Linked DNA regions of Rattus norvegicus. The protein of the gene in region 2 interacts with the protein of the main gene of each other region in a pairwise test. Links are inferred from orthologs where the notes say so. Each region holds a gene or a part of one and is shown on either strand. Other genes may lie near its edges. The genes, in order: Il36rn, Rel, Magohb, Cdkn2c, Hdac7, Acot8 and Exosc1.

What was found.
Region 1: the proteins of Rel (region 2) and Il36rn interact in binary tests that used the Homo sapiens proteins (3 or more experiments, as listed by UniProt). The two-hybrid records come from large-scale screens. The link is inferred for Rattus norvegicus from reciprocal best matches to the Homo sapiens genes REL and IL36RN.
Region 3: the proteins of Rel (region 2) and Magohb interact in binary tests that used the Homo sapiens proteins (3 or more experiments, as listed by UniProt). The two-hybrid records come from large-scale screens. The link is inferred for Rattus norvegicus from reciprocal best matches to the Homo sapiens genes REL and MAGOHB.
Region 4: the proteins of Rel (region 2) and Cdkn2c interact in binary tests that used the Homo sapiens proteins (3 or more experiments, as listed by UniProt). The two-hybrid records come from large-scale screens. The link is inferred for Rattus norvegicus from reciprocal best matches to the Homo sapiens genes REL and CDKN2C.
Region 5: the proteins of Rel (region 2) and Hdac7 interact in binary tests that used the Homo sapiens proteins (3 or more experiments, as listed by UniProt). The two-hybrid records come from large-scale screens. The link is inferred for Rattus norvegicus from reciprocal best matches to the Homo sapiens genes REL and HDAC7.
Region 6: the proteins of Rel (region 2) and Acot8 interact in binary tests that used the Homo sapiens proteins (3 or more experiments, as listed by UniProt). The two-hybrid records come from large-scale screens. The link is inferred for Rattus norvegicus from reciprocal best matches to the Homo sapiens genes REL and ACOT8.
Region 7: the proteins of Rel (region 2) and Exosc1 interact in binary tests that used the Homo sapiens proteins (3 or more experiments, as listed by UniProt). The two-hybrid records come from large-scale screens. The link is inferred for Rattus norvegicus from reciprocal best matches to the Homo sapiens genes REL and EXOSC1.

Annotation. Positions count from the first base shown.
Region 1 is NC_086021.1:27,441,400-27,445,508, reverse strand, and holds the start of Il36rn (interleukin-36 receptor antagonist protein), read right to left. Parts: upstream 2,801-4,109; 5' UTR 2,630-2,800; intron 2,530-2,629; exon of another isoform or gene 2,505-2,529; 5' UTR 2,377-2,504; exon of another isoform or gene 2,273-2,376; 5' UTR 2,252-2,272; coding exon 2,220-2,251; intron 150-2,219; coding exon 64-149; intron 1-63. UniProt on the Homo sapiens protein: Inhibits the activity of interleukin-36 (IL36A,IL36B and IL36G) by binding to receptor IL1RL2 and preventing its association with the coreceptor IL1RAP for signaling.
Region 2 is NC_086032.1:101,911,939-101,915,438, reverse strand, and holds part of Rel (proto-oncogene c-Rel), read left to right. Parts: intron 1-776; coding exon 777-919; intron 920-3,500. UniProt on the Homo sapiens protein: Proto-oncogene that may play a role in differentiation and lymphopoiesis.
Region 3 is NC_086022.1:166,770,541-166,774,489, forward strand, and holds the start of Magohb (protein mago nashi homolog 2), read right to left. Parts: upstream 2,801-3,949; coding exon 2,707-2,800; intron 37-2,706; exon of another isoform or gene 1-36. UniProt on the Homo sapiens protein: Required for pre-mRNA splicing as component of the spliceosome. Plays a redundant role with MAGOH in the exon junction complex and in the nonsense-mediated decay (NMD) pathway.
Region 4 is NC_086023.1:129,642,092-129,646,243, reverse strand, and holds the start of Cdkn2c (cyclin-dependent kinase 4 inhibitor C), read left to right. Parts: upstream 1-1,352; 5' UTR 1,353-1,873; intron 1,874-2,241; exon of another isoform or gene 2,242-2,325; 5' UTR 2,326-2,336; coding exon 2,337-2,465; intron 2,466-4,152. UniProt on the Homo sapiens protein: Interacts strongly with CDK6, weakly with CDK4. Inhibits cell growth and proliferation with a correlated dependence on endogenous retinoblastoma protein RB.
Region 5 is NC_086025.1:130,810,018-130,813,517, forward strand, and holds part of Hdac7 (histone deacetylase 7), read right to left. Parts: intron 2,938-3,500; coding exon 2,804-2,937; intron 2,672-2,803; coding exon 2,551-2,671; intron 2,240-2,550; coding exon 2,190-2,239; intron 1,418-2,189; coding exon of another isoform or gene 1,164-1,417; intron 899-1,163; coding exon 791-898; intron 196-790; coding exon 140-195; intron 24-139; coding exon 1-23. UniProt on the Homo sapiens protein: Responsible for the deacetylation of lysine residues on the N-terminal part of the core histones (H2A, H2B, H3 and H4).
Region 6 is NC_086021.1:173,955,689-173,959,188, forward strand, and holds part of Acot8 (acyl-coenzyme A thioesterase 8), read right to left. Parts: exon of another isoform or gene 3,324-3,500; coding exon of another isoform or gene 3,311-3,323; intron 1,631-3,310; coding exon 1,405-1,630; intron 1-1,404. UniProt on the Homo sapiens protein: Catalyzes the hydrolysis of acyl-CoAs into free fatty acids and coenzyme A (CoASH), regulating their respective intracellular levels. Displays no strong substrate specificity with respect to the carboxylic acid moiety of Acyl-CoAs.
Region 7 is NC_086019.1:250,691,949-250,696,060, forward strand, and holds the start of Exosc1 (exosome complex component CSL4), read right to left. Parts: upstream 2,801-4,112; 5' UTR 2,792-2,800; coding exon 2,761-2,791; intron 2,676-2,760; coding exon 2,560-2,675; intron 2,538-2,559; exon of another isoform or gene 2,383-2,537; intron 2,340-2,382; exon of another isoform or gene 1,374-2,339; intron 935-1,373; coding exon 860-934; intron 1-859. UniProt on the Homo sapiens protein: Non-catalytic component of the RNA exosome complex which has 3'->5' exoribonuclease activity and participates in a multitude of cellular RNA processing and degradation events.

The DNA.
Region 1 (4,109 bases), on a different chromosome or scaffold from region 2:
TTTAAGGGCTTCTAAACACATACCCCAAGAGAGTACAGAGACCTAGGACTCATAGATACCAACCTTTAATTACCTTCCCCGCATGCAATCCTCCAGCCAGCAGCTGGTTATTGTGCAGATACAGTACCTTCAAGGCTGAATCCTTCATTCTGAAACACCAGGAAGAAACAAGCCTCCATAAAGGATAGAGATGGATGTCTTACCTTGCCTTGGCTCCAGAAGGATCCCCCAAATTCAGGCACTTTGTCTCGCTCTATTTCCACAGTTACATAGTCATGCAACTTTCAGGCCTAGCTCTGCAAGATGACTGACTCTCTCTCCCTTCTTCTCATCTGTACCTGAAGTCTGTTACTTCCCCACATTAAATCTTTTACATATGCTCTGTTGGGCCCCTGTGGGTTGGAGCCTTAGACTCTTCAAAGCCAGGACCACTTCTCTATCTTCATTGATTCCCCTGATTCACAGGCTTCTTATCCTAAACCTGTCTTACGACCTGAAAGTTGTTTGGACATGTTTAACCCCTGCGGGAATCTCTATGAGCAGAAGAGGGTCTTACCTGCGCTAACTCTTACTGGGAAGGTTTGGATATGAGTTGGAACAAACAAAATTCCTTTTTGCTCTGAGTGTGACTCTCTTCATTGCTAAACCATAGCAGAGGGTTAAATAACAACCAGGCCTCTTCCTGATTAAAATCTGATGCTCACCTTTTTGTTTTGTTTTTGAGACAGGATCTCATTGTGTAGTCCTGACTGGCCTGAAACTCCTTCTATAGACCAGGTTGGCCTCATACTCATAGTTCTGCTGACTCTACCTCTCATTTCTAATCCGACTGAACATTTCACAGCATGTTTGAGTCCATATGGCCATATATTTTATCCTGGGGACTTTCTTTTAAGTTTTATTTTTCAAAGTTACTTCTCAGCTGATTTTCTGAGATTCTGTAAGATGAAAATTTTATTCTACAATAGACCTCTGCAGTGTAAAATTGTCTTGATGTCTAGCCGAACATTTTTTGCATCTGTATGTGTACGGTGTGCATATGTGTCTTCATGTTCACATATGTGTTGGTGTATGTGTATGCATGCCCACAAGTTTGAGTATGTACATGGAGGCTGCAACCCCACGTTGGGTGTCTTTCCTAACCCTGCACCACTTTATTTGCTAAGGCAGGGACTCTTGTTGAACCTGGATCTTTCCAATTAGACTAGTCTAGTCAGCTTGCCCCAGGGATGTCCTGTCTCTCCATTCAGGTGCTAAGATTAGAGGTTGGCCTCAGACACACACTAGACTTTTATGTGGATTCTGAAGATATACATTCTGGAAGTCACATTTTCCCAACATGAATGTCTTTCTGCTTCTGTGGAGCCATCTTCCCAGCCAAACATGATGAGGAGGTTTCATTCCACACCCTCATTCTTAGAGCACTTTTACACAAACCATTTCATGGGGCTGAGCCTCAGAGCACACACTTCAGGAGATTCTCCAACACTTTGTTAGCATAAGAATTGGTTCTAGGACCCCTGCAGAAACTAAAACCCACAGGTGCTAAGGCCATTAGATCAAATGGCTGTAGTATTTGCCTCTAACTGATATCTATCCTCCTGAATACACTAACCATTTCTATATAACTGTAATGTATTATTTATGGGAAGAGTAACTGGGAGGTCTGTATATGCGCACCACAGATGCAATTTTTCCTAATATTTTCAATCAGTTTGCTGAATCTGTGATTGTAGAAACCACAGATACAGAGGGCTGACAAGTTATAAACTGAGTCCAGTGAGAGTAAGGAGCATTGTCATCTGCTGCTATAAAATCTGTAGTAAGATGCTGAGCTCAGTGCATCCCACGGAGGGACTGTTACTCCCATCTCCAGCAAGGATCATGGAGAAATTAGTACAGTGTCTGGACTGATGCTAATTCATCATCATGGAGGCAATAGTGGAGCTCTCTAAGGGACACTGACTCTGCTCACCAAAGATGACAGGCTGCAGCGCTAAACCAGTTACTTGTCCCATCCCCCATTCCACACTCTTAGAATCAGGAACCTGTGAGGATCCTGCTTAGTTTTTCCCAGTCTGAAGAAGGTCAAAAGAATTCCAAAAAATATCCTATCTTCCTAGCTACCTGTGATAGCCCAGATGAGAGAACAGTCCTTCTTGTCTACTTGAAAGTCACTTTTCTGAGGACACCACCAAATCAGATGACCAAATACTCACCGGAAGCATAGTGCCCCACTCAGAACCATCATGAGCTCCACGATATGTAGACCCTATTTTGAAACAAACAGCAGGAAATTTTAGGCAAAGGCAAATCTGGAAAATCTGAGGGAGGCTTGAGTAGAAAGCATGCTCCAGAGTCTGTCAGTTTGTGAACAGCCTGTGTGAAGGAGGAGATTCTGGATCTGGAAGTTAGGAAAGACCCCACAAAGCATCCATCAGATCTCCCCTTTCTCCAGATAGGAGCCTGTGGATGACTGCTTGCTTCTCCAAGATGCCGTGGTCCTTTAAGTACATGAAATACACTAATGATCCAGGGAGGAGCCTGAAACTCACTAGGGAGGAGCAGGTTTTCCCAGAATGGTTTCACACCATCCCAAACTTCCAAAAGCACCTGCTGTCGTTCTCACCTATCTCTCAATGAAGGAAGCTTCAACAGTCAGCCTTCTTCCAAAGATTCAGAAGGACTTTCTCTGGCCTTTCCAATTCTCCAGGTACACTCAGCTACTTCAGAAAGTAGATCCAGAAAGTCAGAGCAACCTTCTTTCTTCTCTCTCTTTCTCTTTCCCTTCCTTCAGTCCCTTCTTCCTGCCTTTGCCAGACCTATGGAGCTGTTGGAGGCGGAGATCTGCTTAGGAATGTTTAGGCAACAGTTGTAGAAAAACCAGAAAATCCAGACAAGCAATAAAGAAAAATATGCATGCTGACTTGCCTTTGGATGCATTACAGAAAGTGCCAATACCTTTTCCTTTGAACACATTTAACCACAGGCAACTTTCCATTCAGCAACACTACAGAAAGTATACTTTTTTAACCCACATCTTTAGCAGAATATCTTCCTATACCAAACATGATAATAACATGTAAGTGTACATAGCTCTAGTCTTCTACTCATCCACTTATCTTATTGATCCTTCCTGAAGCTGGGCTTGTTTGCTTGTTTGCTTTTGCTATAGAATACTATGTGTGACAAACTGCCACAATTATATACTTTGCCTGTCTTAAATACTTGGTTAGTAAAACAATATGTAATTATATAAAATAACTGATATGTTTTTAATACCTCTATAAACTAACAGAATTAAAGGTAAGCATCAGTGCATAACAAAAATGTTCAAGTTTTGATTCTTCCTGCAAACTATTGGTTGTTACTGTGGCAAATGTCTTTCAGGAAAGTAAATTGAATGTAGAAGCTGCCTTACATAAAATTGTTAGATGGACTACTATTTGACTAAGTAGAAACAACACTATAATATTTGCAAAAACAAAACAGTTTTAGGAAGAAGCAGCCTATAGGCAAAATAAAGTTTAAGCAAGATTGTTCCTATCTGTCAGAGAAGTCAATATTGTTTCATTAAAAAAAGCCAGACTGTAGGATAGCAACCCCATCCCTCACTTGATGTCCTGTTTTTCTGCTAAAGGTGGGTTCAATAAGCTCCCTTTCCCCATAGTAGGGCATTTCATCTAGGGTCCTGAGAGTCCCTCACTTCCCAGGTCTCTGGTACATTCCTCCCAACCTCCTTCTTCCCGAGGTCACCTGTTTCTATTCTTTCTGCTGGCCCTCAGGGCTTCAGTCCTTTTCCCTCACTCAATACCAGATCATGTTCCCCTTTCCCTCCCACCCCCATCCCCTTTGCCTCCCAAGTGGAACTGAGGCATCCTCACCTAGACCCTTTAGCTTGTTGACCTTGTTGAGTTCTGTGGACTGTATCTTAGGTAGTCTGTACTTTTTTTGTTTTTTTTTTTTTTGTTTGGCTAATATCCACTTATTAGTGAGAACATACTGTGCATGTCCTTTTGGGTCTGAGTTATCTCACCCAGGATGATATTTTCTAGTTCCATCCACTTGCCTGCAAAATCCAGGATGTCCTTGTTCTTAATAGCTTGGTA
Region 2 (3,500 bases):
TGGCTTACATATCTGGAGTTTCATGTAAATGGGTGGTATAGTGTGTGCTTGTTTTCGATTAGCCTCTTTCACTCAACACACTCACGTTGATAGTTCTATTAATAGTGTTTTATCCTAAGTTGCATGTGTTCAGCATATGAATTACATTTGTTATGGAAAGCAAATGACTTTATTAACTCCACACTGTATGTTACATTCTGGAGGAGATTTAGATAGAACTAATTTGAAACTGTAGTTGAGCCCAAAGTCAGTGTACTGTTTTGGGATATTGCGTACAGATCCTTTGGTGTTCCAGACTTGCCCATACAAGGACATAATAAGTACATTTTAATTTTCAGGGAATGTCCTTTCACGCAGTGGTAGTGTAAAACAAAGCAGTTAGGTACATTTTACTTGGTTTTGGACTATAGTGTATCTCTGAATACTGTGTTCTTCGCCCTTCTTGGGAAATGTTGGGAGAGAAATCTTCTGATTGGCCTCAGGGGGCAGGTGACTCTAAAAGTTGTTACCTGAGAACTTCATGCACTTATTAGGTACAGACGTTAGGCAGCAGAGCACTAATCAGTTATGCGTCACTACTACGTAGAAACTCAGTCTGTACAAGAAAATGGTGTCTTCCTCATTTAACCTTTGATGATTACATTTTTTTAACCTTGTCATTTAATGTGGGGAAGGAAAAAGATCTTTCGGTGTCTGTTTTTTTTGAAAACCAAGCTGTTAAAGTCCATCGTATTACCATTCTAATCTCATCGCCCCGCTCTTTTTAATACTTTCAGGCGGATATAATCCCTACGTGGAAATCATTGAACAGCCAAGGCAGAGGGGCATGCGGTTTAGGTACAAGTGTGAAGGTCGCTCAGCCGGCAGCATCCCAGGGGAGCGCAGCACAGACAACAACCGGACTTACCCGTCTATCCAGGTAATGGGCCTTTCTTCAGGATCTCGCCTTTAGTGCTTCATTCTGTCTTATTGTCTTCTAGACAGGGTCTCTGTGTGGTCCTGGCTATCCTGGAACTCACTCCATACACCAGGCTGGCCAGAGATCTCCCTGCTTCTGCCTCCCTCCCAAGTACTGAGTTAAAGGTGTGCATTACCACCGCCTGGCTGAAGGCTCAGTCAGTCTCTTAACCGTCTTTCGCAAGCCCATGCTCTGGGCCCCCCCTTTTTTTTGTGCTTGTTCTTCATTAGCTAGATGTATAGGGATCTCTTAAAACTGTCGACTCTGTCCTGCTGTATAGTTCATGTATTAATGTAACCGCAGTGATTTGCAGGGCTTATCACACACTGACAGCTTAGGAGCCAATCCCTTCTGTTAACACAAAGCACTTGATGAGGAAAAGGCATTCTTTACGCATATTGGCGAGTGCAGTTAGTGTATATGTTAAAGGTAGATTTGGATCATCTTTTGATATTTTAATCATGCCTTTATAATGATCGCTGAAACTCTTGCGTTATTAGCATCGTCTAAAGTATCACTCTCTCTGCGTGTGTGTGAAGTGTGTGAGCGTATGCTCGTCTTGTGTGTGTGAATGTAGACACTTGGGTACCTCAGTGCCCCGTGGGAGTCAGGACAGTTGGGTGGGTTCTGTCTCATTCTTCTGTTTCCAGACAGTGCGTCTTTGCTGTTTTTCCACTTTAGACACCTGGTCCACCAGCTTCCAGGGTTCTTCTGTTTCTGATTCTCATCTCCTTAGAGGAGTGCTGCTGCTACAGGCTCGAACTGCTGGTCTCTCTCTTTCTTTGACAGACAGTGCTAGGGATTGAACCTAGAATCTTAGGAATGCCAAACAAGTGTTCTGCCGCTAAGATATATATCCCTAGCCTGCAAAAACAGTTTTTGGGTTGGAAATAAATTTAGCAAATGTACTATATTTATTAGGTATGTTTATATTTTATGTTTATACATCATATACACTTGCCTTTTCATTTTTATAATTTATTTATCCATGTTTAGTGTTTTGAAACAAAATTAGCCCCGATCTTGTAGTGACCTCGCCTCCTGCCTCTGCACCTTCATACTGGAATTGTAGACATGGGCAGTCATGCCTAGTTAGTTTTATCGTTTGAGTTCCAATTAAAAACCTGAATGATGAGTTGCAATGGTAGCACGTGACAAACATTTGGGAGGCAAAGCTAGGTAGGTATTGAGTTGAGAACTGCCTGGCTACATAAGAAACTCCAGGCCAGTCTAGACTATTCAAGCCAGACCTTATCACTGCAAACAAATGGAAACAAAGTTACTAGCACATCAGGGGCAGTGTCACCCACCAAAATCTCATCTACTTGGGAGGCCGTGGTGGGCAGATGGATAAAAGGAAGACACTGTCTCAGAATGGATTTTGAGATATGGTTCTTAATATTCCATCCATAGATCTGAAATCACTGTTTTGTGACTAGCTTATTATTTGCAGTTTAATTTTATTGAACCTAAGAAGAATTACAAAATTAAAAAATAAGTCAATTGCCAAGTTGTATATTGATTTCCAAATTTCTGTTTTTATATTTTAACTGATATATATATATATATATATATATATGCTTAAATTATATATGTTAACAGGATGCCATGTAATATATGATACACGTATGCATCATGTAATGCTTCAATCAGGTTAAACACACTTAGCTCCTCAAACGTTTATCATTCCTTGTGGAAACACTCAAACCCTCCTAGTTTTTTGAAATATACTCTGGTCCTATGGATGGTCAGTGCTCTTAGCTGCTGAGCTGTCACTCCAGACCCATAACCTCATGTTTCCAAATCACATTTTTTTGCAACAATATTGATTTGTATTATCTGAATTCTTTTTAGGTGTTCACATGAAAGATACAGTGAAAAGTTAATTTAGAGTTCTATTCTTCCAACCCTGTGAGTCATTTTTGGCTCCTCTTAAGAAATTTTCTGTTCCTAAATTAAAGCATTCCAGAGGAGAGAGTCTTTATCCTTACTCCCCTACTCCAGTGTATCCTGGTAGATCTGGACGTTAGTGCAGGCAGCGCACAGCACATCTGCTGCTGTCTGCAGCATACGACAGACACTGCAGCTCTGGAGACGGTTTTCAGACATGTTTTGAGAGGATGTTTCAGATACTTTGGGAAGGAGGTGCCTCAGAAAGGCAGGTCCAGGTCTTGCTCCGTTTGTGGTCTCACCCTCCACCAAGATCCCAGCTTTCCCCTCACCTATGGTGTGGGTATAGCCAGGGGTGAAATTCAAAACCTACTTCTGTTTTCACCTTCCTTTGCCACAGGATTTTCATGGGCAATGTGGTCTCAGAGAACGCTGGCTTTTTTTTTTTCTTTTGACACTTTTATTTCTCTCCTCCTCCTCCTTCTCCTCCTCCTCCTCTTCTTCCTCTTCCTCCTCTTCCTCCTCCTCCTCCTCTTCTTCTCCTTCTCTTCCTCCTCCTCCTCTTCTTCCTCTTCCTCCTCCTCTTCTTCTTCCTCTTCCTCCTCCTCTTCTTCTCCTTCTTCTTCTCCTTCTCCTTCTCTTCCTCCTCCTC
Region 3 (3,949 bases), on a different chromosome or scaffold from region 2:
TTGAACAAACAGGGATCTATCCGTCTGCCTCGTTGCCTATGTTTGGGGATTAAAGTTGTGCACAGTAAACAGTTTATTTTCTTACCTAGCCCTGAGCACAAAGTGACTGTGTCTAACTACTAAGTATTCTCTTTAGTGTCATGTGAGTACCTAGTGCTGTTCTCACAATATTTCACCTGGTCTCTAAAGGAATTCTAAGAATGGGTTTCACTTTCTCACCTCTTCACAGGAGATAAAATCAAGGCAAGCAACTTACGCAGCGTCACACAGTCTCAAAAGGTCTGTTTTTGATCAACTCTTTCTCTATAGTTCCAAAAATGATCTCTCAATTCTTTCCCTTCATGTTAGTGTATATGGATAAGATAATGATTTTTTTTTAACTAGGAAGCATGCAAACGACATGAACTGCCAAGCCTGTTCGCTGACTTATTCAACCCATTCCTCACAAGCTCTGAAGCCCCTGGTGTGTGCTTCCCTGTCAGTCAGGTGCCCTGATACAGCTGCAATGTCTTTCTCATCTGCCAAACTGACAGATTCTGTGGTTCATGATTTTGCATGTGAGTCGAGCAATGCGGTGGCAGAGATGCATGAGGACCGACCTCTACTTAAGATTCCCCTGATACCGTGGGGTTCTTAATTCATGTGACTCAGGGCGATAAGGACAAGCTGGTGTTGTTCACAGGCAAGAGGAACAAGAACTGAATTACAAGAGGAATAAGTAAAAAAAAGCAGAGAAAATAAAAGAGTAAAAGACCAGGCCACGACATCAAAATTTGGAAAACAAGGTTGAAGTTATTAAGTTTCAAAATAACGGCAGGACACTGACTGCTATGCTGACTTCTTCCTAAACGCTCCAAACCTTTGGAATACATGATCCTTTCCTTACGTTTCAAAGAACCTTGTGCAAAACTTGCACAAAGCACTTAAATAAAATCCATACTATCCTATCGTAGGTTAAATGTTTATCTCCCAACTACCTTCGGCTTTGACATTTATATACTGCCGACTACACAATGAACATTCACAAATAAAAATTCTTGGTACAGGTAAGAATTGCCTTACACTACACAGGGGCTTCAACAAATCCCTGCTAATTCTGTTCTCTTCTGGGTTTTCTCTCATCCAGAAACCAAGAAGGTTCATTGTTTTTATCTCAATCAAGTATCTCATCTTCTAGAGGAAGGTTCTTTTTTGTAGGGGGAATCTTTGTGTTCGGGGGACAGGGTTTCTCTGTGTAGCTCTGGCTTTTCTGAAACTCCATCTGCCTGACTCTGCCTCCAGAATGCTAGGATTAAAGACTCAGGCAAAGCCTTTTTTGTTGTTGTTGTTTGGTTGGTTTTTTTTGTTTGTTTGTTTGTTTGTTTTTGTTTTTCAAGGTCTGATCATTTATTTCTTACTCTTAAACACTTATTGTTTACTGGACTAATACTCAAAATTAGAAGCTCCCATTGAGGACAGCCTACGTCTCTTAGAAATCTGTTCCAAGTATTTTTCTCTAGCTTCATTCTCTAGGTCAAAAGTTTAGCTCATTCTGTAGCTACTTTATTTTTCTTAGTGCATTGTTTCTTCAGAACAATACACTGGAGTTGGTGGTGTTCCAGGACATATGAAGTAACTAGATGTTTGGGTCTTGCGTGCTTTCTTCCTGGATTTCTTACAGTCTTTGTTCAAGGGCTTTTCAACGGTGCACGAGCAGACATCATCTTCTTTAGAGACACTGAAACACTTTAGGATTCTGCTAGCTCTTTGAGACCCAAGTACAGAGGGACAGGGGCTCAGTTCAGCAATATCATTTTTGTTTTTTAACAATAACCGGTGTACTCTGCACTGGGTCAAGAAGCCTTGCTTCATGGTAAAACCGTTTGTCATTCTCAGTCCTTTTTGTGATTGGGACCACACAACCCATCCATCCACTCTTCACCCAGAGCATCAGTAGCTACCTCTGTGGCCATTTGCTTCTCCGAGAAAGTACAAAGTTTGTATTCACTGTCCACCTGAAAGTGTTCTGACAGCTGGTGGCTAGGAAGGAGATATTCAGACTCATCTACACAGAGCTGACCAACTATCTAGAAGGCAGCACAAAAAGAGCTTCTGGGAGCATTCATTGACTCCCTTACCTTTGTCCATCATCCACTGGTGAAGAATTGTCTTTCAAACCTGACACATATCACACTCCCGTGTTCAGACACGGGGTTCCTCCCCTACAAAGCAGTCTTAACACAGATAGTGAATGAATGAGTAGGCCAAAAAGGCCACCTAAAGATTACAAGCATCCGCTAGAGTATGTGTCTTTTGATAATTCTGTTAACACTCCCGAAGCACAGGTTCTCTGCTCTTAAGTTTCCGATTCCTGTGTGTTCAATTTTTCTGACAGTGGCAAGATCCGCTTTTCTGAATTACTTTACAGCATTTTTTTTTCTCTTACAAGCACTGCGCAGGCGTGCTACACAAGCAAACTCTTCCAACATTGGTATGAAACCCTCCAAACCGGTTCTTCTGGAGTCTGGAGCGTTGTAACATGCCTGCCATCCCACTATCCCGAAGGCTGAAGCAAGAGAATCGTGAGTTCGAGGTCAGCCTGCACTACACAAGACCCTGACTCAAAACTAACAAGTACATTGAAATAAGAAAGGGAAAAAAAAAAAAAAAAACAGAAACCCATTCCCTGGGCGGCTCGCCCTCCCTCGCAGCCTCTCCGCCGCTCACCGTCCGGCCGAAACTCGAACTCCAGAAACTCGTGCCCAAACTTGCCCTTGTGCCCGACGTAGTACCGCAGGTAGAAATCACTAGCCAAAGCCATTTTTGCCCTCGGTAAAGCCCGGTATACCGCCGGTCCAACGTGCCGCCGGCGCGGAGTAGTGACGTCGCAGGCGCGGGCAAAGAGCGTCAACGAGGGCGCGCTTACTCCGGTAGGGAACGAAAGCCGGGAGAACTGAAGACAAAGCGAGAGACCCTCAGTTCTGAAGGTTTGCGCTGGAGCCGCTTCACCACAATCTCAAGCGCTTTGTTTTCTTTTTTTTTTTTTTTAAGATTTTTTATATGCTTCGATATTTATTTTTTAACTCTGACGGTTTTATACACGTATATGATGAATTTTAGTCGCCCCCACCACGTTACCTTCCACCATCCCTTCTCCTGCAGAACCGCTTTTACCAATAAGCCCTCCTGTGCTTTTACATCTCCTGTATGTCTGTGTTGAGGGGAGAATCACCGAGTTTTATAAAGATTGCTTGCATGAGCGCGATGGTTGGTACAAAGTCGCAGATTTCATTGTGGCATTGTATATTGTTTTGATTGAACCTCACTCCATACACCTCTCCCTCATATACTGTCTCCAATTCTTCTGTCCCAGTTATTCCCGCTGCACTTTCTTGTTAAATGCATCCTGTTACTCTTCCCACTCCATTTCTTTAACCAACCCGCAGTATCCTCTCAGGTTTAATAACCTATACTCACAAGCACATAAATACACGCATACAAAAGCTAAGATCCCTATACAAGATTTGCATTAATACTTCACGGTTACCTCACTTAACTATAATAATTGACAGATTTGTCCATTTTCCTGCATATTTCACAGTATTTTAGAAAAGAACAAATAGCTTGGGGTTTTCTTTGTTTGCTTCTAGTTATTTAAATGGGCTTGGGAGGAACATATGCAAACCATTTTTACTTTCTGGTTGCCCTATGGTATGGGTGTGTATTTTTCTGAGTTTTGAACTAAGGTTTACAAGCTGTACTTAGGGTGGGTATCTCTGATCTCCAAGCACATTGTAAAGTTGGGTGTGGCTCCACTTCCTGTAACTGGTGAAGTGAGTAAAGATACATTTCAGTGGCAACTGGATCACAATCTACCAGAGTCTCTTTGGATAATGCTTCACAGTATCCAGTGGCTAACAGCCTTGACTAAGACACAAAGTAAAATGTATCTCTCTGGTGGGGGGTTGAT
Region 4 (4,152 bases), on a different chromosome or scaffold from region 2:
ACTAACTGTAAGCCTTGTCTAAAGTTAATTGTATTTCTCACTTTCCCTCAAGAATAGAAGTTAACATTTTCTAGACCCTGGAACTTTAAGGCTTTGAAGTTGGTCAGGATTTCTTGCAATGCGCTTTCAGTTCTCATAAAACTCAAGTCTACAAGACTTCTCTGCCGTGTAGTTCTGTCAGTCGGGTCCCCTCTGCAGCCCTGGCAGCGACCTGACAGGTGGCAAGGCCTGTGGCAGAGCAAAGGAGTCCAGCCAGAGCGCGCTCGGGGAGGAGGACAGCAGCCCCGGGCCAGGCCACTCGAACTCGGCGAGCCTGGTCGGGGAGCTCCGAGGAAGGTGGAACCGCCCCGCTCCAGCTGAGGAGACAGCCGGAGCGCCCGCGCTCTCCTCACCAGCCAGCAACAGGGCCGCCGAGCCTCTAAGGGCCTCAGCTTGAGCCCCCAGCCTCAGTTACCACCACCCGGGTCTCTCGCGGTAGAGGCTCGGCTTCGCCGACTCCAGCCAGCTCCAGAACAGCAGTCCGGGCCGGGCCGAACCCACCCAGCTTCAGCAGCGGCGACCAGCGCAGCGGGAGGGCGGGCAGGAGCTCCCGCGAACCCAGGCCCAAGGCGGGCAGAGAAGGGCGCGGGGCCGCGAGGGCGGAGCGAGCGCGCCGCGGGCCAATGCGCCGCCAGGGCGGAGGGCGGGGCGTGGGCGGTGCCCGGCCTTCCCGCTCCCGCGGCGCCCTAACTCCGCCGAGCCTCCTTAAAACTCTGCCGTTAAAATGGGGGCGGGTTTTTCAACTCAAAAAGCGCTCAATTTTTTTCTTTTCAAAAAAAGCTGATGAGGTCGGAAAAAAGGGATAAGAAACCGGCACCGTCCCTTCAGAGGCAACCGTAGCAGCAGTTGCTTCAGCGGAAAAAGAAGCAAAGGAGAGAGGAGAGGGAAAAATCCTAAAGGAAAGACGCGCAAGTGCCTGTAGCGGGGAACAGAGCAGCGATCAGAGATTTGGGGGAATCGGACTACAAAAGAAACTGTCAGGCGCGGCTCCCGACCGGCCGGTGCAGTCTGAGTCAGCTCCGGGACTGAGCTGGCTGGCAGTCGCTGTCCTGTCCGCGGCACACATAGGGGCACAGGCCGGAGGACCGCCAAGAACTAACTAACCAAGTGGCACCGGGCACCGAGCTGCTGGGCGGCCGCCAAGAAGTCGGCGGGACAGACTGCGCCCGGGATCTGCGGCGACCGCTCCTACTTCCAAAGACCCTTCCCATCATCGGAGGCGCCGGGAAAATCTGAAAGGGAGGGAAAGACCGCGACAGAGGCGACGGCCGCCGCTCAGCCAGCGCTTGCAGTGGAGAGCTTGAGCTAGCTCGGTCGTAGGCGGGAAGTTACTGGTGAGCTGGCCGGGTGCAGGCGCGATGCTACCGCGAGCTGCCCCAGCGGCTGGAGCCCCATAGACGCTTCCCTCTTCGCCCTACACGGTCCCCAGGCTGCCGGGAGTCCCGGGACCCGGCGGGGCCGGCATGACGGGCTTGGCGGGGGTCTGCCGCACACCCACCAGCCTCCGGAGACCCGCGCCCTGCCGGGCTCCCACGGCCTCTGAGGCTCGGCGGGGCTGCGGCAGCCCGGCCGGCGGGCTCCGGAGGCTCTTCTGAAGACGCCGAGCCCGCTTGGGAGTCGTTGAGACCTGAGAGTTGAGGGCTTCAGAACTGCTGCTCTGGTCTGCCTTCGGCAATCATCTTTAACCCTCCCGAGCACGTCAGCATCCAGCCAGCGCGGCGCTTTGCTAGCGAGCCGCACTCTGGACTACCCCCTTCTGCGAGACGGATGGAAAGTGAGCCCTGCGGAGGACCTGACTCTGAAATTCTGCCTCAAGTCACCACTGTGAACAAGGGTGGGTTAATACCTTTTCTACTCTCCAATACTTTTTCTTTCGCGGTGTTTTCTGAGCTGACCTAGTCCCTTAAGTCTCCGCAACATCCTCCTCACAGAGCTGTGAAGCTTAGGTACGTGACAGCTCTGCCTACATCTCACGTCCATAGTAATTAATCAAGAAAAGCTTCTGTGTATGTATCTCTGTCGAATCGCCAGAGTCCTTCTTAGGGGTTAAGCTAAAAAGCTAGGGAAGGAGCCCCTCTCCAATGGGCTCAGTTTTGCTGAATAATCACGTGTGAATCGAGGGGCGGGCTTTTGGCAGGCCGACCTTACTAGTATTTACTACCAAGCTCTACTCCAGATTAACCATCCCAGTCCTTCTGTCAGCCTCCGATGCCATCATGCAGCCTGATTAGGAGCAAAGAAAAGGGGAAAAAGAGAAGCAACTAATCGTCTTTTCCCGATCGTCAGGACCCTAAAGAATGGCCGAGCCTTGGGGGAACGAGTTGGCGTCCGCAGCTGCCAGGGGGGACCTAGAGCAACTTACTAGTTTGTTGCAAAATAATGTAAACGTCAACGCTCAAAATGGATTTGGGAGAACTGCGCTGCAGGTTGGTATCCAGAGAGGTGGGAAAAACAAGTTAATAAGGTTGCCTGGGCTTCTAAAATGACAGCTTTTAAGTTTGGAGGGGTACAGATCTTCACTGTTTTAAAACCTACATGGTTGCCATATTTTATATCTTTAAGTGGATCCAACTCCCCAAAATGACGTACTTTGGAGAAACTGGTCAAATCCAATAACATCCTCGATATCAAGAGAATCCTAGGTTTGGTCATAATTTTTGGAATGCTTTTGTGACAATGGAGGTTTTAAAGTAGTCTTATCGTCGAAATCTGTTTGTTTTGTGCAGTGTTGTTTTAGATAGCTCTTTAAGCACATTATTGTGATTATTATTTGAAGTAAATACACAGCTAATAGTGGTTTTTCACCTATTTTGATCCTAATCATTGACTTTAAAGTTAATTCTGTTGCCGGTTAGGCAGGGTGTTTTACCTTCAGCTGCTCCATGTCCTAACAAACGACCTTTCCTCGTTTGGTATGGGATAGCCTGGTCACCAGGACAGGGTGTACATTTTCACAGTTAATACAATACCTAATCCACCCATTCAGGAGTGAGGAGAAATTAAAAGGTTGAATTTTCTAATCAGAGCTAAGCAGTGGTGGTTTTATTATCCCTGTGGTCATGTGGTGGTATGCTCTAATTTTCAGTGATTAGATTTACAGGCAACAACTGACACATTTCCAGCTGCCAAATATGTACCTGATATTTTCCCCCTCCAAATGTTATCATGTAACTTTGCTGAAAGGTTTAGAAGCAAAACATTGGGAAAGTGATCTCCACCGGTTGCTTTTATTGGAGTTCTGATAGTACTCCTGGGAGCTTTTCCCATCCAGAAGCAGCTTTTAAAAAACCCACTGGGGTAAAGGCATTAGAGATTTTTGTTTCTGTTTTAAAAATTAGAGATTTAAGTGGCAGGAGATGCCAGAATGGAGAAAGCTCATTTGGTCTGTATAATTTAAATCAGAATACGGCTGGCCTTACAAAAACCTTCTCTGCCGAGGAAGATTATGCAGAAATACTAAAATATTTATCTTGATTTGGGAAGATTAAATAAGGAAAAGGTTTTGTTTTTGTTTTTCTGCTTAGTACTTGTGGACTGGCTTGGTGGTGATAACAATGCCATGAACTCCAGATGCTGAAAGGTTTTCTATTGAAAAGTCACAAAGTAGAAAACATTTCATCTGTGTTCAGAAAAAGACAGCACAGGGCGAGTGGGTAATTAATATAATTAAACTTTGACAAACGTTTAAAAAATAACCACCCAACTTTGCTTCTATTAAACTTAGATAATACCCACTTATTATAGCTTAATATCAAAACATATAATGAAACAGGTACACACAAATATGAGTCTTTTTTCGGTATACATAATCCTGACTCTGAAATTGTGTCATCAGGAAGAAATTTCTTCAAAATCATTTACACTCTCACTTTCTGCCAAAGGTGGCAAATTTTACTCTGTGATTATGCTTTTTACTCAGCTGCAGAAATCTTTTCTCCTTTGCTCTTGTTTTTCAATCAGAATAATCAGAGAACTTCATCATACATTTGCTTTGCGAAGGTGTTTCTTGTTTTGCTCACTTTAAGTCTTTAAATGTGACTAAGGTTTTAGGGAGAGGTGTCAAAAATTAGACTATTAATTTTTAATAACCAGAAAATATATTTCATGGAGATT
Region 5 (3,500 bases), on a different chromosome or scaffold from region 2:
CAGAGTTGAAGAAGCAAAAGCCCCTGGAGGAAGGAGAGAGGGTCCTGCCAGCCCATCCTCCTGCTACTCCGCCTCCAGGAGGGCTTCGGAGGGCTGCCTCCACCTCACGCCACATAGGTCCACCCCGCTAATGGCTTACATGGCTGTAGAATGATCTGCATGGTGTCCTGGAGGCCGCACCACAGCAAAGCCATTCTGAAAGGGGAGGAGAAGCATTTATCAGTTCAGTAGCCGTCTCTCAGTCCTCATCTGCCCGAGAGCCTGCTTTCCATCCCAGCGGCCTTCTCTAAGGATTAAAAGGCAGGGGTGGGGCAGCAGCGTGCACCATTGAGACGTCCAGACCTCTCCTCCACACTGCTGTCATCACTTATGGGCTGCACTTGAGCACAGCACCCCTCCCTGGTAGCTCCTGGCTGTCATCACAGTGACACCTATTAACTACTAGAGAAAACCACGTGCCTGGTCCTGTGCCCAGTACATCACTGATACTCCATTTGCTCCTCGCGGCATCCCTAGAGCACAAGACATCATCACCCTCCCCAGTTGACAGACAAGAAAGCAAAGCTTAGTGAATTAAACAACCCAAGTTCTGTGGCTGTACGCGGTAGGGCTGGGATTTTCAAATCAGGATGACCAACTGCCTTACCTTGCTTCCAGCCCCGATTTCCCTTTCAAAACCCAGAGGCAACACCCACAAGCAATGGGAAGTCGAACGCTTGGAGTGTGGACTCACTTCCATCACCCCGGCACCAACGATTTAGCTTACCGGCCTTTCATCTAAAGTTCTTACCTTTAGCTCTCGGGAAGCGACTTTGAAGGCAAGGTCGGTGACGCTGCCTGCAGCCCAGCGGGCTGCATTGGAGGAATGCAGCTCATTCCAGATGGTGTCAGTATCTACCTGTGGGGGCCAGGGTCAGGACTGCATCATCCTGTGCTTTCCGTAGGTGCCGGGGTCCAGTGAGGCAGTACCCACCCCATGGCCAGGACCCCAGGGGCAGGGAGCTGGGCAGACAAAGCTGCCTCCCCAGTGCCCCACCGCCCAAAGGCAAGGCCTCCTGTGTCCCCCAGTCCCGGGAGAACTTCTTCCCAGTGTAAGTCCCAGCACCAGCTCGTGTGTGGCCAGCACTCTGCCTCCCCAGTCAGGGGAGGGGGCATGGCGTTACCTGGGCGGGATTGGGGTTTGGGCCGGGAGGGGTTTTAAGCCCCAGCTGACTCTGCTGACCCTGCGGGACGGTCGGAGCTGGAGGGGCCGTCTGCACCACTGTCTTCCACACGGGGCCCCTAGCCCAGGCTGGGAGGCCCCCCAAACCCAGTCCCTGGGCCTCAAGGCTAGGGAGGGGCCGGGGGGCATGATGGGGAGATGGGAAGGGCGAGGCGGACGGAGAGAGGCGAGGAAGGCAGAAAGAGTCGCAAGAGGCTGGAGAGAGAGAGAGAGAAAGGACAGAAAGGGAGAGGAGGGAGGAGAAAACAGAAGCAACAACAGTTGGAAAAACCAGAAAGTGGCAAGAAATGGGGAGTTGTGAACAGGGCACTGGCTGGCTCCCCAACAGTCCCCTTAACAGCTCCCGCTTGCTCTCCTGGGCTCGGCTTCCACCTCACTGCCACACACCTAGCCTGGCACCACAACGACGGGAGAGCCATGTCAGAGGCAGCAGAAAGACCCCCCAGCAGGCGATGCGGAGGCAAGCAAAGCTAGAGGGTTGGAAATCCGTGTCCTGGATCGGGAGGTCCTACACCTCTAAGTACATGGGAGGTACCCCACAGCTCCACACGAGGTCTGGAGGTCGAGTAAGGCACACCTCGAGTCTCTGAGAGAGGCCCACTCCTGGGCAGGCAGAGCTGCCAACTCTGAGAGCCAGTGTGGAATGGCCAATGCTTGACCCCTGGGGTCTATCAAAGGGGCAGTGTCTAGCCTCAGTATGACCCTACCTCGAGCCTCACTCAACACCTACCAAATACTTTCTAACTGAGAGGCCCTGGGCTCCACACTCATGGGACACTTATGGTACTGGGACACACCTATCACAAGGTGCTTCCAGATAGAAGACCAGAAAGGGAAAGGCCCTGCCTTCCCGACTCTGGCAGAACCACAAGTTTCAGGTGGCAGAGGGGTGGCAATGGGCCGAGAGAACCGAACGAAGGCTGAAAGGCCTTGGCAATGCCCACTCGAGATCTCTAGGCATACTTACCCCAACCCCGCCACAGGGTAGCATCACAAACGTCCGCTGGGCCAGGAGTCCTGTGGGGAAAAGCCCAGGTCACGTGAGTAAGGAACACGGATGCTCTAAGATAAATAGCTATGCAGGGAGAGGCAGTACGGGGAGATGTGGAGGTGGAGGTGGGCAACGGGGACGGGGAGGACTATGGAGGTATGGACCGCGGACGGGTGATGACAGGGGGTACGGGGATTGCGGGCAAGGGGATACGGCAACCGGCATGGGAATATCCAGGAAGCTGAAGGGGTTCAGCTGGGCCAAGAGCACACAAGTGGGAGAGATGGGCAAGTTTGGGGCGACTCAGGGTCAGATGTCATCTGTCTCCCTTCCCTACCTGTAAGCTTCCCGTTATCCAGTTTGAGGCGGCTGAGTGGGTTTGTGCCGTAGAGGAGCACGTGCCTTTCAGAGTGGACTGACTGCAGCTCTTCTAGGGAAGCCTTTCGGCCTCGGAGACACTGAGAAAGGGCCCACAGAGCTCCTAAGGCTTGCTCACCCATGCCCAGGCCACCACCAGATCGCCCACTCTCCCATCCCTTGCTGGCCCTAAGGCGTCCCACAGCCTATTTTGCATAGTCCCACCTCCTCACCTCACACTGGCTGCGGAGACCCCGTTCCTGCAGCCGGGACCAGATGCTCTGGATGCGGCCTGCGTGCTCGGGATGCTTGCTGTTGTCTCCACAGGAACATTGGTGTTTCAGCATCACCGAGTCATAGACCAGCCCTGCAAGAAGCAGACGCCAGGGCTGGAACGCCAGGGAGACCTCCCCGGTGGCTACAGATGGAGACCAGCCCACAGCCGGGGAGCCAGACATGCGTACCTCCTTTGCTGCCTTTTCCAGGCGCGTGAACGTCTGCGTTTCCTTTCCAACCCTTCTGTGAAGAGCTATGTTTCCCTATGCACAGGCCTAAATGCTTCTGATAACCTGATATCCACACCAGGCCAGTGCCTGCCGCACGGCCGCTGCACATTGCCTTCTGGGTACTCTTACTCCTCACAAGGCCCAATGCACCTCCTATGCCTTTGAGAGTTCATGCCCTAAACCCAGAGAGACTTAACACAGGACATCTCTGTAGTGGGTTGGCCTGCTTACCTCAAAGAGAGCTCACTTATAAGACACTGAGGGACCCCGCCCCCCAGTTAATTCTGATTGGTAAATAAAGACGTCAGCAGCCAATAGCTGGGGAGAAGAGACAAAGAGTTTTCGTGGGCTTTGAGAGATTGCTAGGAGCAGCCTCGGAAGAAGACCGCACAGGAGGGGTAAGGAGAGTCACCATAGGGTGAGG
Region 6 (3,500 bases), on a different chromosome or scaffold from region 2:
GTGTTTACCTACATGCATGCATGTGCACATTTGTGTTTACTGGCTGTGGAGGCCAGAAAAAGGTGTCAAAGCCATTGGAAGAAGAACTAGAGGTGGTTATGGACCACCATGTGGGTGCTGGAACCCACACTTTGCAAGAGTAGCAAGTGCTCCTAATGGCTGAGCCTTCTTCAGCCATCCCCCATGTTTCTGAGATAGGGTCTCATGTAGCCCCAGCTAAACTGGGAATCACAGAGACCCACCTGCCTCTGCCTCCCAAGTGCTGGGACCCAGTTTATACTTTTTTTTTTTTTTTTTTTTTTGGTTCTTTTTTTCGGAGCTGGGGACCGAACCCAGGGCCTTGCGCTTCCTAGGCAAGCGCTCTACCACTGAGCTAAATCCCCAAGCCCCCCCCCCCCCCAGTTTATACTTTTAGTCCATAGTCAAGACCCACTTAGAGGCTCTCTGGCCCACTAATGAGTAGGAGCCAGAGCTTGAAAACACTGCCCTGGGACTGTATAAGAAAGGGACGAGAAAGCTAATGCGGGGCCATATAATAAAAATACATTATACACATGCATAAAGCTGTCAAAATGAAATCCATGACTTCATACAATATACACTAATTAAAAATAAAGGAGTGGGCTGGAGAGATGGCTCAGCAGTTAAGAATTCTGGCTGTTCTTCTAGACGTCAAGAGTTCAATTCCCAGGAACTACATGGTGGCTCACAACCATCTACGAAGGGATCTGATGCCCTCTTCTGGCGTGTAGGTGTACATGCAGGCAGAGCACTCCCACATGTAAATACATAAATTTAAATCGATGGGCAGGTGAGATGGCCTACAGGCCTGTGGACCTGAGTTCCACCCTCCAAGCCCAGGTAAGGGCAGAAGAGAGAGGGTTCCACAAAGTCATCCTCTGTCCTCCATATGCTGTGGTGTGCACGTGCAAACACAACAAACATATCTTACGTATGCTGTGGCCTGCACATGCACATACACAAACACGCCACACACACACACACACACACAATACTGATTTTTTAAAATGAAATGGAGAGTAGTATAGAAATATCAGAATGCATCTAAATCTAGTCATCTGAGTACTGTTTTATTTAAAGGCACGATCTCTCTCTATAGGTCTGGCTGGCTGGGCCTCCTCATGTAGACCAGGCTACCTTTGAATTCTCCCAGACTTGCCTGTCTCTAAAGGCATGCAGATTATGCCTGGGGCCTAAATGTAGTTTCTACTATAGGTCAAGGTAGTAAATGTTTTTAAGGTCTGGGGTGTAGCTGGGTGGCAGAACATACCTACCACACACTAGGCTCCTAGGTGTGATCCACAGAACCATAAAAACTAAAGAATAAAAGAAACTTAAAAAGTAAACAACAACAACCAGCTCTCTGGAGTCCTCTGGCCTCACCTTAAGTACTGGTCAATGAGGGCCTCATGGTCCAGCAGCTCCTCTGGGGGGGGCACAGTGGGCATGGAGAACTGGTGCTGCAGGGGGCTGGGCTGCATCTGCTGGAAGGAGGCCTGGCAGATGAAGATGGCCTTGCCATGCTGCACAGCCTTCACTGCACGCACTGAGAAGCTTGCTCCTGTTCGTGTCCTCTCCACATGGTACAGCACTGGCACCTTTGGGTCCCCTGCAGTAGGCATAAGGGATACAATGACCCTAAGTAAATCCATGGGTCGTCCTCGTTACAGTTAGTAAAACACCACCTCTGTTCCTCTCATCCTAATTTCTTGGTTGGCTGGTTGGGGTTTTTGTTGTTTTGAGACAGGGTTTCACTCTATAGCCCAAGGCTGACCTGGGACTCGGGGCAATCCTCTGGCCTCTGCCTCTCAAATGCTAGAATTACAGGTGTGAGCTATCATGTCCATCTTCTTTTCTTCTCAAAGACAGACTTCTCAATGTGTTGCTGTCACGTGCTGTTGCCAGAGACCCACACAGGCATGATGGTGGGCCATGTCTACAGCAGAGATCAGAGGACGTGCTGGGTGTGCCCAGACTGGAGACTGTGGGCCTGGGGAGCAGGTGAACCACAGAGAAGGGGACACTTATGGAATTGGTTAGGGACACACATTTGGCTTTCTCCACTTGGTACAAAGTCAGAAACTGGTGAAGTTAGGGGAGCTGTTGGTTAGTCTGTCAGTTATTCACCAAGTCCTGGCTGTCTGGGGCTGAAAAGGGTCACCTTCATGCACGCTAAGACCAGTGCCCTGCCACTGAAATGCACCTCCAGCCCCACAAGAGTGAGACGGCCAACTCGCTTCCTGTTTTTAGCCTTTCTCTGTGTATAAATACCAGTCTCTTCTGCCTGACTGAAACACGATTCTTCTTCTTTTTCTTTTCTTCTTTTTGATTAAATAATGAATTAATTTATTTGAGTCAGGATCTCACTGTAGCCCTGGAACTTTGTAGAGGACAGCATCCAACTCCCAGAGATCTGCCTGCCTCTGCCTCCCCAGTGCTAAGATTAAAGGCATGAGCCACCATGCTGATCCACACTTACTCTTTTGTTTGTTTGTTTTCTTTTGTTTTTCAAAGCTGTTTCTCTGCATAGCCCTGACTTTCCTGAAACTTACTCTATAAACTAGGCTGGCCTTGAACTCACAGAGATCTGCCTGCCTCTGCCTCCCAGGCGCTGGATTAAAGGTGTGCGCCTGGCAACTCATTCTACTTTTGAAACGAAGTGGTCCCTGGTTTCAGAATCAAAACTAAAACCAATCAATATATTTAGGCACCAGTCTGTAATACCAATATGCAGGGGGTTGAGGCAGGAGGATTAGAATTCCAAGTCAGAGTTGCTAATTTAGCTTAAAAAAATCAAACAAAACCCAGTGGGGCATCTCCTCAGCTGAAAGAACCACAGGATAAGAAGGCCAGGGTTAAGCTGGGACGAGGTCCTCTTGGGATAGGACTTGCCTAATGTGTAGAGAACCCTGGGTTCTACACAGCACAAAGGTTTGGCGGCATCTGCAATCCCCGTACCAAGGAGCCGCAGGCGAGAAGATTGTTAGTCAGGGACATCCATGGCTACACAGCAAGTCTGAGGTCAGCCAGGGACACAAGAGGCTACCACCCTGCTAGCAGCAGATAACTCCTGAGCTACGTCCCCAGTCCAGACCAAGAGTTTGCAATGAGAACTCCCCTGTCTCTGAGCCCAGAGCTTTAAGAGTCTAAGAGATCCTACTGACACATCGCTGGTCCCGCCTCGCCTCTGTTTCACAGATGAGTTCCATCGTAGCAAAAGAAAGTAACCTCATTCAAGATCACCGCGGCCATGACTACAAAGCTGACGCTCAACTTCCAAACCGCTTACCTTCTGTCTCCATAGCAGTTTACAGCCCTATGAGGACTTAGCAGTGCTGACACTAGAAGAGAATAAAGAAGAGAGCCAGGTGTGGCGTCGCAGGCCCTTAGTCCGAAACACTCGGGAGCCAGAGGCAGGCAGAGCTCTGTGAGTTCCAGGCCGCCCTGGTCTGAATGGTGAGTTTCGGGCCAGTCACGCT
Region 7 (4,112 bases), on a different chromosome or scaffold from region 2:
TACCTTGCAGCCTAGCTCCCCTTTGAGATTCCCCGCCTCCCAAGCACCATTGGAGGAGCGTGCACCTATGCCCTGCCAGCAAAAATTTCTGTGATGACAGAAATGTGATTTCCTGGGGCTGGACAGATGGCTCAGCAGCTAAGCGCACCGGCTGCTCTTCTAGAGGACCTGGATTCCATTCCTAGCACCCATATGGTGGCCTATAATTATCTGTGCCTCTAGTCCCAGGGGGTGCGACACACCTTTCTAGGCTTTGTGGTAGCAGGCACGCATATGATACAGACAAGATAACTATTCACATGAGGTAAAACAAAACCAATCATTTCCTAGAACTGAAGACGTACTTCTGGGGAGTCCATCACTTTCCCACACCCCCCAAACTAAAGTCATATGTCAACCAGTATGGCAGCCACTAACCACAATTTGCTACCGAGTACTTAAAATGTGAATAGTGTTGGGATTGTGGGGTGCAGGATCTCACTCTGTAGCCTATTCTGGTCTTGGACTACTGTTCAATAATTCTAAACAGCATCCAAATACCGAGACCACAGATATTTTATATTTTAGCCTGGCTAAAAATAAATTTTTCATTCTTTTCTTTCTTTTTGAGACAGGGTTTCTCTATGAAGCCCTGGGTGTCCTGGAACTCTCTGCATAGACCAGGCTGTCCTCAAGTATTCACCTGCCTATGCCTCCTGAGTACTGGGATTAAAGGCTGAGTCAACACATCCATCCCTGAGATTGACCTTCTAGCAGTAATAAACTTAAAACACCCTTCTCTAGCTAGGGACTACTGTATTAAGCAGCGGACCACGGCAGTTGTAGGATCTCGGCCTAATCATGACTAGGACCGGCTTACCTTACAGGTGACGACAGCTCCCACATCTGGAAGTAACTGGGACTCTGTCTCTCTCATTACTGATACCACGGGAAGCTGTGGAGAGAATACGAAGGTTAGTGTACTGGCTAAGTAAGCCCTGGGTAAAGAGAACTGAAGGCTGAGGATAATACAGGGGTATCTTACAACAGCCGAGGTCACAAGGGCAGGCAGCCTGTAGATTCATTTATAGCCCATAGCAGAGGACATTAGTCATTTTAGGAAATAAAGAGGATCAGAGGCCATTAGAACTAGGCTGCCAGGTTTAATGTGATCATTCTGATTAGTTGTAAATGACTGAAGACTCTCTTGGGATTTCCTGGTACAAATCCTATTGCTTATAATTATGAATATCCTGACTCTTTCTTCAAGCTATAACTTTTTTTTTTTTTACTTCAGGATTTGCAATTAAATGCTATAGAATGGCAACTCTTGTTTTACTCCAATGGCAACTGGTGTATTATCTTACCTCTCTTGCTCTGTGCTGTTTCCTTACCTTACTAAGTCCCTCCCATTTCACGTTGTCTGTCTAATCCATTCTTTCCACACTCCTCCACCTCTCCTTATCTTCAGGTGCCGAAATATTATTGTCACTATCTAGAATTCATGCAGCCCGTTACATGTTCTCACTGTTCCGCACACTTCTTTTGAAGATATGTTTGTGCATTTGCTCATGGTTTGTGTCTGTCTCCCTGGTAACAAAAGCTAAGTGTATTGGGCTCAGGACTCTATCCCCAGTAGCAACTAAGGGCACCACTGGGCAGGACATCTATGTAGTGAGTAGACTGACAGGCTGAGTTTTATCTCCAAAACCAATAGACTGGAGCCCATTTTTTTTACAAATAAGTACAACACAAAGTGGGAAGTTTGGGTTTTGCCAGTCTCTAAAGAGGGTGTGTTTTTCCCCAGGTCCCAAGCTAGGCAAACGCTGTGCTGATGAGCCACAAGCCCAGCCTGAGGAGGTTTAATTCTTAGTTTTTATAGTCTTACAAATGTCAACCACTGCTTTATCTGAGTCAGTTAGAAGCTGGGAATACACTCGTGTATCACCATGCATGGCTACACTTAAACTTCTACTTGGGCAAGAATCTAGTTATCATGAGTAACATATTTAAATAAGTGCTCCAGGGAAGGTTCTTGGGCACAACAATCCTACTGCCACTAAAACCCCCATTTTCTCAGTCAGCAGGTCCAGAAGGGCTTCTCTGGGAAAGCCATACATACAAACAAAAAACAAAAGGGATTGAGCAGAAGTGTGTTCCAGACAGACAAGTACATGCATTGCATAGGCTTCGAAACAGAGTTTAGTTCACTAAGACACTGAAAATCTCCAGCATTACTACATTGATGTCAGTGAAGTGGGACACAAGAGCCACAAGAAAGCGGAGGTAGTCGAGATGCATGACGGGAAGAAGCTCTCGGCTGGCCGGGCTATTCTCAAATTTGCGTGCTTTTCCCCTCCACCTCCTTCTGTGAGTGTCTCTACACAACTAAGCCAGCCCAACCTAAATGGTGTGCAGCAGGTGTGTTTTAGCACAGCGCTGGGATCAGAGCTGGGAGAAGCTGGGAGACCAAAGCTCTGAGACACCAAAGACAGGTCCTCCCGGTAGTGCCTGTGCCCAAGGACCAGAACTCGATGGCAGCCTGAGAGGTGACGCTCGTTGGCTAGCCGCTTTCTTTACCGCGCCATTCTCGCTGGTCTTCGTCAGGCAGCCAGCCAGCGACGAAAAGATGTAGCCGTGCCGGGTGTAGGTGCCGCTGCCCGGGCTGCCTTCCTCCAAGTTACACAGACGTTCGCCTGCAGAAGACATGTGCCTCAGCTACGAGCTCCCAGAAACTGGCTGCCCGCAGCCAGGGTCTGCCTGCGGAGACCGCTCACTTACCCGGGATGCAGTACCTCACAGGTGGTGCCATGCTTGCCACCGTCCACAACCCGGATGAGAACCAAGACGACTTCTTATTGGTCAACTAGAGGAGCGGCCTCGCAGTTACGCGTGCACCAATTGGCGCTTTCGACCGCGCAAGGCGTAAGAGCGAAGCCTGACTCCATTTCCCAGGCTGCCCCGGGACAGAGTTCTGGGCGTGACTTTGCGGGCTCTGAGACTCGCGCCTGCGCAGCTGGGTGGTGATGGGCTGTCCGCGGGTCTCGGTCCGCTGGCTGGCGCTGCGGGCTCAGGGCCATGGTGGGTTAGCCTTAGCTCGGCCCGGCCTGGGTCCCGAGCTGGAAGGGGAGGCAGTGAGTGGCTGACAGGGAGACTTGGCCTAATCTAGCTGATTGAGAAGCTGGCAGGAGGCAGGTAAGAGTGAAGGCGCGGTTCTTGTCCCCATCCGAGTCTCGGGTGTCCAGGCCCTTAAGTTCAAGTTCCTGGACTCTCTGCGCCCTGCCCTGCGTGGCTGTCCCAACTCATCCTCAGTCCCAACTCGCCCATTTCACGAGTTTGGAGACTCAGATCCAGAGACAAGGTTTGGTTTGTACAAAGTGTCGTAGATAGTTCGAGACAGACTAAGCTTAAGCCTTTTTTCTTTTTCTTTTTTTTTTTTTGACCTGAGCCTATCATAATTGGACCCTGCTGCACCTGGAGACACAACCTTTTTTTTTTTTTTTTTTTTTTTTTTTTTTTTTAAGCTTTGTAAAACGACAGTTTCTTCTCTTGCAGGCAGATACTCTAGAGCGTGAGCTCCTTAACTATGAATGGGCAGCTTGACGTTAACATACCATTCCTTTTGCATTCTTCCATTTTAGCATGTTAGCCGGGAAAGACAACTTCATTAATAGAATATTATGCTTTCTTGACATCAGCTTGATATGGCAAAGGTCACGGGAGCAGCAGCTGTGTCCAGATGAAATTTGCCGTGACTTGATCTCAGTTTCATCTCTTGGCTCTGGAATTTATTCCTATCTCCCCTTCCCTCCCTGTCAGTCAGGCTTCTTTGAGATACAGATGGTGATTTAGGGGAGTGCTGTTGCCTGCTAATCTCTACTCTGGTGGCAGATGGCCACTGTACTCTGTGGATTCTACTGAGAGGTGGCAGGACTTGGGGTTTGGAGGAACTATGCTGGCTTATCCCTCCTCTGTTCATTCAGGTCATCCATGACTTCTCACCACATTTAGATTTAAAGACTTTGTTTTTTTTCTCTGTTTCCCAAGGTAAAACCTTTTCACTTGTGGTCCATTTATTACATCTTTTTCTAGTCTCCTCCTTCTCCTCATATCCCACTAGGCTGGGGGGGGGG